2 linked regions of the Arabidopsis thaliana genome follow. The protein of the gene in region 2 interacts with the protein of the main gene of each other region in a biochemical or structural test. Each region holds a gene or a part of one and is shown on either strand. Other genes may lie near its edges. The genes, in order: TIR1 and AXR3.

What was found.
Region 1: the proteins of AXR3 (region 2) and TIR1 form a complex in vitro, tested with the Arabidopsis thaliana proteins (one study listed by BioGRID).

The regions. Positions count from the first base shown.
Region 1 is NC_003074.8:23,272,422-23,278,555, forward strand, and holds TIR1 (F-box/RNI-like superfamily protein), read right to left. Parts: upstream 4,210-6,134; 5' UTR 3,761-4,209; coding exon 3,294-3,760; intron 2,561-3,293; coding exon 2,068-2,560; intron 1,883-2,067; coding exon 1,058-1,882; 3' UTR 644-1,057; downstream 1-643. Other genes in the region: AT3G62970 (zinc finger (C3HC4-type RING finger) family protein), read left to right, coding at 12-50, 140-277. UniProt on the Arabidopsis thaliana protein: Auxin receptor that mediates Aux/IAA proteins proteasomal degradation and auxin-regulated transcription.
Region 2 is NC_003070.9:1,134,259-1,139,203, reverse strand, and holds AXR3 (AUX/IAA transcriptional regulator family protein), read right to left. Parts: upstream 3,127-4,945; 5' UTR 2,823-3,126; coding exon 2,584-2,822; intron 2,271-2,583; coding exon 2,059-2,270; intron 1,745-2,058; coding exon 1,606-1,744; intron 1,465-1,605; coding exon 1,403-1,464; intron 902-1,402; coding exon 864-901; 3' UTR 541-863; downstream 1-540. UniProt on the Arabidopsis thaliana protein: Aux/IAA proteins are short-lived transcriptional factors that function as repressors of early auxin response genes at low auxin concentrations.

The sequences.
Region 1 (6,134 bases), on a different chromosome or scaffold from region 2:
TCTTTGTACAGATAAGCGCAACAGAGATGCCTGTTGAGTACAAGTTTGAGGTAAATGTCTAAAAATCCAACGTTGTGCCACCTCTTGGTTTGTTTTCCTTGTGCTCATGGTTTTACATCCGCCAAGAAAATGTCTGCAGGTTTCAATTCTCTGCAATGACTGCAACAAGGGGAGTAAAGCTATGTTCCACATTTTGGGACACAAGTGCAGTGATTGCGGTTCATACAACACTCGGAGAATCTCAACGCCACAAGATCCAGTGAGTGAAACAGAGTGATCATTTTCTGAAGCCAACTCTTCTTCATTGAATTTTCCCGTCATTGGTCCAACCATAGAGCGATAGGGCTGTGTTCTGCTTATTTATTTTTGTTCTTGGCCTAAAAACACTTGAAACGGAAAATATCGTACTGTTATATAAATGGTATTACTGTGTTTAGTCATCATGTAAACTGAAAATTTGAAAAAGCTTGTTTTTCATATGAAAAACAACAGTTCAATTACATTGTGTCCTATCACACGTTTGACGATGATGCTATTCCAAGACCTTTACACAGAGCAAGATTCTCTTGTTTCTAATTATGGTGATAAAGAGAGTGTAGGGACCTGAGACGAAACTAGGTGCTGTTCCAAAACCGAAAAGGCTGCAAACAGTTCATTAAGCGGACAAAGGAAATGGCAAAGACAAAGAGAGAGAGAGATAGAAAACATTTAAAAGGATAAAAGAGTCCAAACAAAACAAGTAGAACAGTTACATTTTTGACATTGTCTTTTAAAAAAATCTCTTATCCTCTTAAGAAAAATACCCCACCAGGATCTCTCAGTGTAAGTAGCCAAATAAACATACAACAATCAATAATTCTTACATAAATAAAACAAAGCTCTCTTAGATCTCTCTTTCTCTCTCTCCACTTATTCATTGCTCATGAGCTTGATGGTTATATGAAGCAGCCGAGATTCAAATTATTGGCGACCGAGCTCTCTCATGTTCCTAAACCGGAACACGATTATATGGGATGATGAACAAGGATTAATGAAAAATGTACCTCGTTTCTTTGTCTTATAATCCGTTAGTAGTAATGATTTGCCTGGAAAACCTCATTGTTGAGTCTTGGTCCATGTTCCAGACGAAGCCAGGCATGTCAAATCGAGGACCAGCCACTGTTCGGTATATGAAGACTCTCTCAACAGGGCAGCTCTCTGGTCTCGAGTCCGGTGCACCCCGTTCATCGATGACTTCCACATTCAGCTTTGGCATCTTCTGTCCTAGTAACTTGCAGGCTCCAAAACTCACGGAACAAGAAGACATCCAAAGGGATCGCATTGTCTCCAGCTTTGAAGCATTGGCCAAAAGCGCCTTGTCTCCAAACGGGCAGTCCCTTATCTCTAGTTTCCTCAAGCTATCGCACCCGGACAAAACATGATGCATGCCTAAGTCACTGTCTCCTGCAAATGCCACTGAGAGCATTTCCATCTTCTTGGCATATGTCCCAATGTATTCAAAAACCTTGTCGGTCAAGAGGCCAGATAGAGAGAGGCGACGGAGATCCTTGCAGTGCTCTACTATGGCTCCAAATCCAATATCCAGTGGCTCTAGAGTCAGATAGTCTGGGGCTTTTGGCTCAATGATGCACAAACGGAAGCGAGTCATGTTGGGACGGTTCCTAGCAATGGTTATCAATGCAGCATTGGTCATTTGACGGCAGAAGTAGAGAACCGACTCGAGTTTTGGACAGCCCATGGAGACGGAGACAAGCCCCTGTTCCGTCAATGCCACATTTGGTTCCATGACAAAAGGCTCGGACGGAAACACTCTCAGCTCGCGTAGGTCCTTGCAGGTTGAAGCAAGCACCTCAAGACCAGCATCCTCGATGTAGTCAAGCACCTGTAGTCAATAATAAGTTAGAGCACAGTTACAAAAAGAAAAAGGCTTTAATGCTTATAATTCAGATATATTGCTCTATATCATTCAAATTTTTTAAGAAAACTATGAACATAAGCTTTCTCATACCATACAGTAAAATGACCTATTCCAAATTCATGTGTTAATGTATGTTAAAATGGACTCACCCAGAGGCGCTGCAGTTTAGGGCATTGACAAAGAAGCTTGACAAGATCATAGCTCTGGACTGTTGCATAACTCAGATTCAAAGTTGTAAGCCGACTGCAAACCGAATAAACTGCTGGAAGATAGGCAGGAACAGCATCCCAAAATCCAGATAAGCACCTCAATTCCTTGCACCCAGAGAGCGCTACAGATAAACCAGAGTAAACATCTGGTCGCACTTCTGCAGTGTACCCACCAGTGCCCAATTCCTCCAATTGAGGTGCTCTTTGAAGTAAAGTAGCCAATTTTTCAAGTGGAACAGCTCGGTTAAGCTTGAGAGACTTGAGATTGGGACACCTAGTCACCAGCCTTTCCAGAGCAGAGAAACTGACCTCAGATGCTAAGCAAGATATATTGAGTGATACCAAAGAAGTGTATGTATCTGGGAAATGGCTAAGCCAGTGGCCACTAACGTCGTCAACATCACTCTCTCGTAAGTCAAGCTCTTTCAGATTCCTGCATAAGAAATCACATAATTAGCATCGAGTGACCCACATTATACAACTTCGAGAACATAAACATTGCCTACAATACATGAGCATAATTGTCATTAATTTGTCCAAAGTTGTATTTGATACAATGTAGAAAGATCACTTTGGGAAACTATCTAAGCATAGAACAATAACAAATTACTAAATTTATCACGTGGAAGCAATGTGAGAGATGCTAAAACAGAGCTAAAGCGAGTAAAGAAGGGGAATCCGAAAACAGATCTAAGTTTCCCAACAAGGTAAAAAAAGAAAATTGAAAGTCCCCTACAAAAAGAAAAGTAACACACACAAAGCCAAATTGATTAGATTTCCCACCTCAGGAGATTCACTGAGAGCGAATAATCCAGGAATAAATAGATACACCACCGTTAAATAAGACCCACCAGAAAGAAAAAGAGAGTGGCTATAATAAGAATCTTCAGAAACGTGATTAAAACATATATCTTTTAGATACGCAAAATCTTGACCAAACCAAAAAAAAGCTCACAAAGACCAGAGTAACATCAGCAGGAACAACGCAGCAAAACCTATATGCCCAGATCAAATAACAAGTACATGAATTTGCTATAATTGAGACTTTATGTAGTATAATGAATATACAAATCACACACCAATAAGTTTAATACAAACAAAAGCTTCTTCCTAGAGACACAAGGGAGTCTTCTTGATGAAACAAAAAACATTCAGAAAAAGAATACCTGCAAGTGGCAGCGATAGCAGCGAGACCATCGGTGGAGAAGCCTTCGCAGGAAGAAAGCACAAGAACCTTAAAATTCTTAAAAGACTTGGCTATGAGCTCCAAGCAATCGTCGGTGACCACCATCCTCTTCAGCCTTATCTCTTCAAGCCACGTGTAAGACGAAGACATGGCCTCAATCCATGGATACACGTAACCTCCCCATCCGTCAGGTACCAAATTAAAGTCAGCAAAGTGAGGTTTTCCTTTAAGCTCCACGGATCTCACTTTCGGGAACCTCCTAATCACCGTCGCTGGACTCACGGCGTAGCAGTTCCCGATGAAGACTTTCCTCCTGCACCACCGCTCGATCTCGTACCATGACTTGCACACCAGAGAGACTGAGTTCCTATCCTTATCCAGCTGAATAAACGAGAACACATGCTCTAGTACCTCTTCTGGAAACGACAAGGCTATTCGCTTCTGCATTGCGGCCAAATAACCTCGAGATCTCGATGATCGAACCAGAGGAAGAAGTTGGACAGCGTTCGAAGAAGAGTTGAACAAGTATATATATATAACTCCCAAGGTTAGATCTGAGGCGCCATTAACGGAGATAATCTAGTTTCAAAGGAGAAGCTGAAACAAAGATGAAGAAGATAGATAGAGAGAGAGAGAGAGTGGGAAGAGAAGAGAAAAGGATAGGGGGAAGGAGAAGGAGGTCAAGTTAAAAAAGCCAACCATGGTTGGGTTAAAAGTTAACCGTGGTCAAACATATCCATGTGAGCCTTTTCGGTGATTGTGATTGTCGATTCTGATGATGACACGTGTCTTATAAGCTTCAAATACCAGCCGTCCGATTGAATGAAAGCGGGAGATTATCTTATCGACTGTGCAGAGAAGGGCAGCCGCAGAAAACGGGACGAGATATTGGAGAGGGGGGGTCGGCTTATCGCGGCTTCTATCAAAATAGCGCGAGAAGGAGATCAATGATAGGGTGTGGTAAGGTGTAGGAGAAGAGGGAATCTAATGATACGCGATGCACGGCTGGATATGAGGGGAAGCCCCGTAAATTGCGGGGACCACAACAGAATGTTAAAAAAAATACTAGACTACTAATGATCTGACGGTAACAAAACAATAAAAAAAGAAGCTATTACTGTTATTTATGATGACATCACAACCGTCCAATCATGTTTTGATGTGGAATCTGAGCATCTATCTCCTCCTATTATTAGTTTTGCATGTTCATTTATTTACCCACCACTTGGATTCATAAATAAACCATCAAGACTAATCACAGTTTCATTTTCTATTTTCTAGTAATATATAGTATTGATAAATTTGATTAACTAAAGTGTATCCTTTCTCATAGCATTAAAGTGAAGTAAATAGAGTTGAATGATGAATTAACATAACAAGAATCAGTGTTTTCGTGTGAGATTGGATTAAAACATTATTTGTATGTTTTTGAAGATTGCTGAATAATTTAAATTAAAATTGAAAGGATTGCACAAAAAAGAGTAAATGTGAGGGAAGTATCCAATAATTTAAAGTGAACAACTTTTATGAGTAGAGAAAGAAAAAAAGAGAGAGAAAGAATGGATACTGAAAAATTTGAATAAAGTAGAGAAGAAAGAAAGAAAGAAAGTGCAGCGTCGCATTTTAATCACGACCGTCAGATCTGGGACCCCTTTTTAACAGTGTACGGACATACATACATACACAATCGTGACTTTTAAAATTAATAATTACTTCTTAATTAATTTACCTCGTCTGGGTGTAATAAACGTATAAAAACTACAATTATTTCGGGCTCTGTCGCAAGTACAACGGCTTAGAGGAAAATAAATGGGTATTGAATTGACGAGAATGCCCTTCTTCTCGAAACAGTGTATGATGGGCTTTGCAGAGTCTGAGCATGGAGTTGATAGGTCTGTCCTGCCCTAACTAAAAAAACTTGTCACATTATCAAACTGTTCTATATCATCTTCGTATTACATACCATCCTGACCGTTTATCCACTTAAACTACTATTTAAAATATCGCACCTTTCTAGTTTTCTTTTTGAATGTACTGTTGATTAGTTCTTAAACCAAAAATAAAATCTAAAAATTATAATGACATACATACAAATACGAAGATTTTAAAAAAAAAAAATGTAGCAAGCAAGTGCTCAGAAATTGAGGTAGTAACGAAGAAAGAGATAATTAGGAAAAAACAAAGAGAGGGCTGAGTATAGTCAGATGGGAGAAGTGTGGAGCTGAGTTGTCTTGCACGTAATACGCTTAAGTTTTTTTAAAATTATAAGTTTTAATGTCGTCAGAAAAAGGGATTAACTTACACTGATATAATAAGAGGTCATTGATTATGAATTTTTTAAGGAAATGATTAGAATAATAATCCCACGCATGGCTCCCCCGCGAATCTCTCTTATTTCTTTCTCCTAGTCTCGGGTTTCGTACTCAAAACTAGCTTGCTCTTTGCTGTCTATTATCCCTTAATTATCTCCCTAATTATTTTTTTAATTATCTCTTCAGCGATATTAGATCCAACTCTGAATGAATTATAAATTGTGTACCTAAAAGCCGAGAATATTACAGACTGCATTATACTACTACTGTTTATGTGAGATAGAAATATGTGTACGCATGTGTGGACGGACATATATAAAAGAATAACATAGTACTATAGTATTTACATAATACTACTGTTTATATATAAGATAGATGATGAGTGATATATATAATGCGATTGATGAAGAGGTGGTGTACAAGTACAAGTAAAGTGGCACGTGATTTATAAAGCTAATTTGGATTATGTCTTGATTATAATGACCTTCCCCATTAGTGGAAGCCATCCT
Region 2 (4,945 bases):
AGGATACAACGTAATTCCATATTTCTAGTGGTTTTTCATTTTTCATTATAGAGAGGATATTTGTGTATAATTATGATAACCTTGTTAATAAATTTAGTTGGTATAAAAGTTAATATTCCTAATTAATTTAATGGGAAATTAAATGATAAACAAAGGTAATGAAATGAAGAGACCCATGAATATGCACATGGCATTGCTCCCTCTCTTCCCTATGGGTCCTATTTCTCTATTTTATTTCCTCCAACCAAAGCCAATTATCACTTTAAGTACCAACAAATCAATATACCAACAAAGTGAATTTTCCCCATTTTTGTAATTATATTCATCTGATATAACATATGTATATTGTAATATTGTAATTCTAATTATACCGACTTCGAAATTATACTTGGGGAAAGTTTACTTTAGGGTCAAATACTCGATCGCTATGATCTTTAGTTTCACTTTCAAGACGAACCAAAAGAATACTGTTCTGCCTTTAGAAAATAACTGACTATTAAGAGACTGAAATTAAAGAGAAGTAATGTGAGATTAAATTTTCCATAGTGGAATAAAAATCACATATTCCTTATACGAATATACACATCTTTGGCAAAATAAATAAATAAAGACAAACATATACATAGGAATAGGATGTTCAAATTATTACACATTTTCCATTACAAATGTCTCAAATATTTAACTTAAGTTCATTACACATAATAGCATACAAACTATATCTACATACCAAATCCAGATCAAAACACAGACAATCAAAAGAAACTGAACAATGTATTTCATCGTAAGAAAAAAAAGAGCAATTAACACCAATCAATGTGTTAATCAAATATATAATCGATACCACTTATCCTTTTAATTTGACTTCAAGCTCTGCTCTTGCACTTCTCCATCGCCCTCGGAGCTGAAATATTTTTACAATTAATAAGCAAAGACATTTGACCACGGTATTTATTCTGTTAAAAGAGTATATTTTTTATTCCCTCTGTTATTTAATCTCTTTCTTTTTTTGCATTTGACAAAAGAGAATCAAATATCATGTATTATATCAATGATTTAAAAGATCAAAGCGATAAGTTTTCTTTCGACAAATTTGTTCTTTACGGTAGAAATATAATTGTGCGAAAAATAATGAACGGTTTAAGCGTTTGATGATTAGACATCATCTTAAACGATAGCATATTAAATTATTTAGGCGACCAAGTTATGCGGTTGAGGTGTACATTATAGTAAACTTTTAAGCTCTTTTGTAAGTTTTTTTTTTCTTTTTGGGGCAAATCTCTTTTGTAAGCTATTTTAACTATATTGTATACATATACACGTAAATTTTAATTTAAATGGGTAACAAACTGAAATCAAAATTTAATCAATGTGAATATAATATGCATTGGTAGAAAATACATACCGAGACCAATGGCATCCGATCCTTTCATGAGACGTAAACGCTTGCATGTATCGACGAACATTCTAATAAATAAAAAGATTAAAACAAATGGTTATTTATTAGAAACAAATAAATGACATAAACAAAAATAAAGCTCGAATTTTAACCGAAACAATAAAGCTCTAATTAAATGGTAATTAATAAGGGAGAAGAAGAAGACGTACGGCCAAGGAACGTCGCCGACGAGCATCCAATCACCGTCTTTGTCTTCATAAGAGGGAACATAGTCCCAGCTATTCACCAAATCCATCAATTTCCTCTCATTCATGAAGTCTATCATTCCTTCTTCTCCTCCATGTTTGCCTAAAATAATCTTAGGTATAAGAACTTGATATCCTGAATTTAAACTTGGTGGTTTTCTTTTATGGTGCAACAAATGAAATATACATTTTTCGCAATTGGATTTTATCACATAGTTTTCTTTTCACAGTTTCTAAACTACTACTAACGGGTTACTCAATTATGAAATATTTGTATACTCGATAACGGTAATTCATTTGGGACTGATCTATCATCATGATGATTAATTTTTCTTTCTATAGTAACAATTAATTAGTAACTAAATGTGCATGGAAGGATCTACATATATATATAAGGAATATACTTATAAAACGTACCCATGGTAAAAGAGCTGAACATGTTGGACAAAGCATTAGAAAGCTCATCGTAGCTTTTATACATCCTCAAATCGATTTTCCTCAAGTACGGTGCTCCGTCCATTGATACCTTCACGAACGCCGCCGCCTCCGGGCCACCGCTTGATTTTTGGCAGGAAACCATCACGTTCTTCCGGTATGATCTCACCGGTGGCCATCCCACAACTTGTGCCCTATATTTTTTTTAAAACGGAAAAACGGTTATGTTATACAAGATATAGACTGTAGTTAGCTTTGACGTGATGTCACATAAATTTTACTTGCATGAGACTATGGGTTAAACATAATTAAATATATTAAGACATTGGACGATTTAAGAAGAGAAAAAAACCGTAGACATATGATAAAATGGTTTTGGCGAAGAAAAATATATATCTTTAATGAAATTTCTGTTTTTTTTTGCAGTCACCTTTACAAAAATGTTAATATTAAGAGCAGTAGAGAAGAGTGGAAAATAAATCATAAAGGACAAAATAGTAAAATTACTTGGCCGGAGGTTTGGCTGGATCTTTAGGACAAGCACTCTTCTCCTTGGAATCAAAAGTCACGACGTCATGAGTCGTAGATCCTTCCTTGTTTGCAGGCTCATTATTCAGATTTAGCTTCAGATCAACCGTCTCTGAGAACCCTCTCTTGTTTCCGGTTACCGGAGCCACTGTATCTCCACCGGGAAGACCAAGACACAGCTCAGTCTCCCTCAGATTCAGCTCGACACTGCCCATCATTATTAACCTTTCTTCTTCTTTGGTGTTCTTCTTCTTGGGAAGGTGATGAGGAAGATGGAAAAATGGTTTTATAAAAACACTCAAATAATACAAAGTGAGATGAGTCTGTATTATATCTCTGTCTAGGAGGTAGCTGCATGTGTATGTCGTATTTAAGAGATCTTTGATTAAACGGGTTTTAGACACGTGGATGAATCTAAGCCCTTTGATTAAGTCATCATCCTCGAGTTTTAGTCTTTTAGACTAATCAGTAATCACTGTTATTACTCTATTACTGTTATTGAATCTTTCTTATGATTTATCTTGTAGATTATGTATATATTATTGCATTTGACTATACAAAATGGATATATATTTTAATCCGTCTTTAATCGTTTTTCTCCCGTTAAAAGAGATATATAACATTTTGAGATTACAAGCGAAAGCACAAGTGAAGGAAAGATTTTAAAATTACAAGTGAATTATGAAACACATTCGAAGCAACCAAGTGAATTAAGTGGTGATGAACCGATTAATTGATATGGGGTATCTAACTAAATATATGTATATACCATATGGTCTTAAAAACTATATCAACGTATAGTTTATAAATATATATTCTTTTGAGTGGCGAGGTCGCAGACATCTCATATGAGAGTGTTACAATAGAGATGTACATTATTATTAATATAACTATATTATGCTTTTTGACTTCTAAATATAATTATTAACTAATGAATATATATTCATGATTTTGATTATTTTTCCCCGTAAGATTCTTCGCCGGAACCTTCCAATTATGCATATCACATCCACATGATTCAATTATTCATCCCACAATAAAAGCGCAGCCCTCTTGTATATAATTATTCTCATGCCAATACAAAATAAAGCATACGGTACATCTTCAATATTTATTGATTAAAAACTCACCTATAAACACGTACAGCGAAATGTGTATCTAGACACATAAAAACGCATCATTACTCTTTAATGTTTATACTTTGTAGTTAACAAACTATAAATTGCAATATTATAAACACCACTTTGTAGTTAACAATAAAATTGGTGATTAATTTTCTTTACAGATATTTACAGATTAAATTGACTACTAAAATATAATGTCTGTTTTTGATTATTGAAAATTATTTTTCTTCTTTTATATTGCTTGTGTTATTCTTGTAGTATGAAAGTTTTCAACAATAGGGTAGTTTTTTTTTTTTTTTGTAGTTATGAAAGCACCTAAATTTGTATTACATTTTCTATTAATTTGTCTATATTATCGCATTTCTAAACAAAAAAACAAATTCTGTCGCACTTCCAAAACATATTTTGTTTTTATTTCATCAATCACGCTTCCAAAAACAAAAATGATATGTTTTGGAATTGTATTTTCACGGCGCTTTTGCGAATTTTCAAACTTTCGTTCAAAATTCGACTTTAGTGATCTACTAGACACTGGTTTTAGTTCAAAGTAATCAGTTAGGCGTAAACTGTGAATACGGGACGTTTAAATAACACCAAGCGTACTAACCATAATTAACCAACGTAAATTCAATAAATATGAAAATAAAGAGGGAAAAAGGCATATTCCTACCCTAATAAAATCTATGAGAGGGGACATGAGTGGCATCAAAATCCAAAGGAAGAGAGGGTACAATTAACATCACCATAAATTCCAAAGCCAAAATTTAAATTAATGAGAAGAAGAAAAACATGGAGATGATAAAGGGACAAGTTACATCAAATAAAATTCAGGGGCGAAAACATCTTAAACCCTACTTTTGTTCCTTGCCTTGTCTACATCCTCCTCTTTAACCCTTTTCTCTCCTTTTGTTTCTATCCCAAAAAACTCTCATGAGTTTTCAAATCAACGTACCCCAAATTTTTCAATCGAATTTTGGGTCACTTTGTCTTATATATCACATCATTTTGTCGTGTTTTATCAATGTGTATCTACTTTGTCTGATCAATATATATATCTACTGATCACTATGGAATTCACATGAAATTGTAAACCAGTGAATAATATAAATTCTCGGTCCAGCCTACATGATTACAAAAAAATGCGCCCGCACACATAAATGGATTGTATGCGAAACTTTAATGAGATTGAACCAATGCAACCAAATCCATATATCATC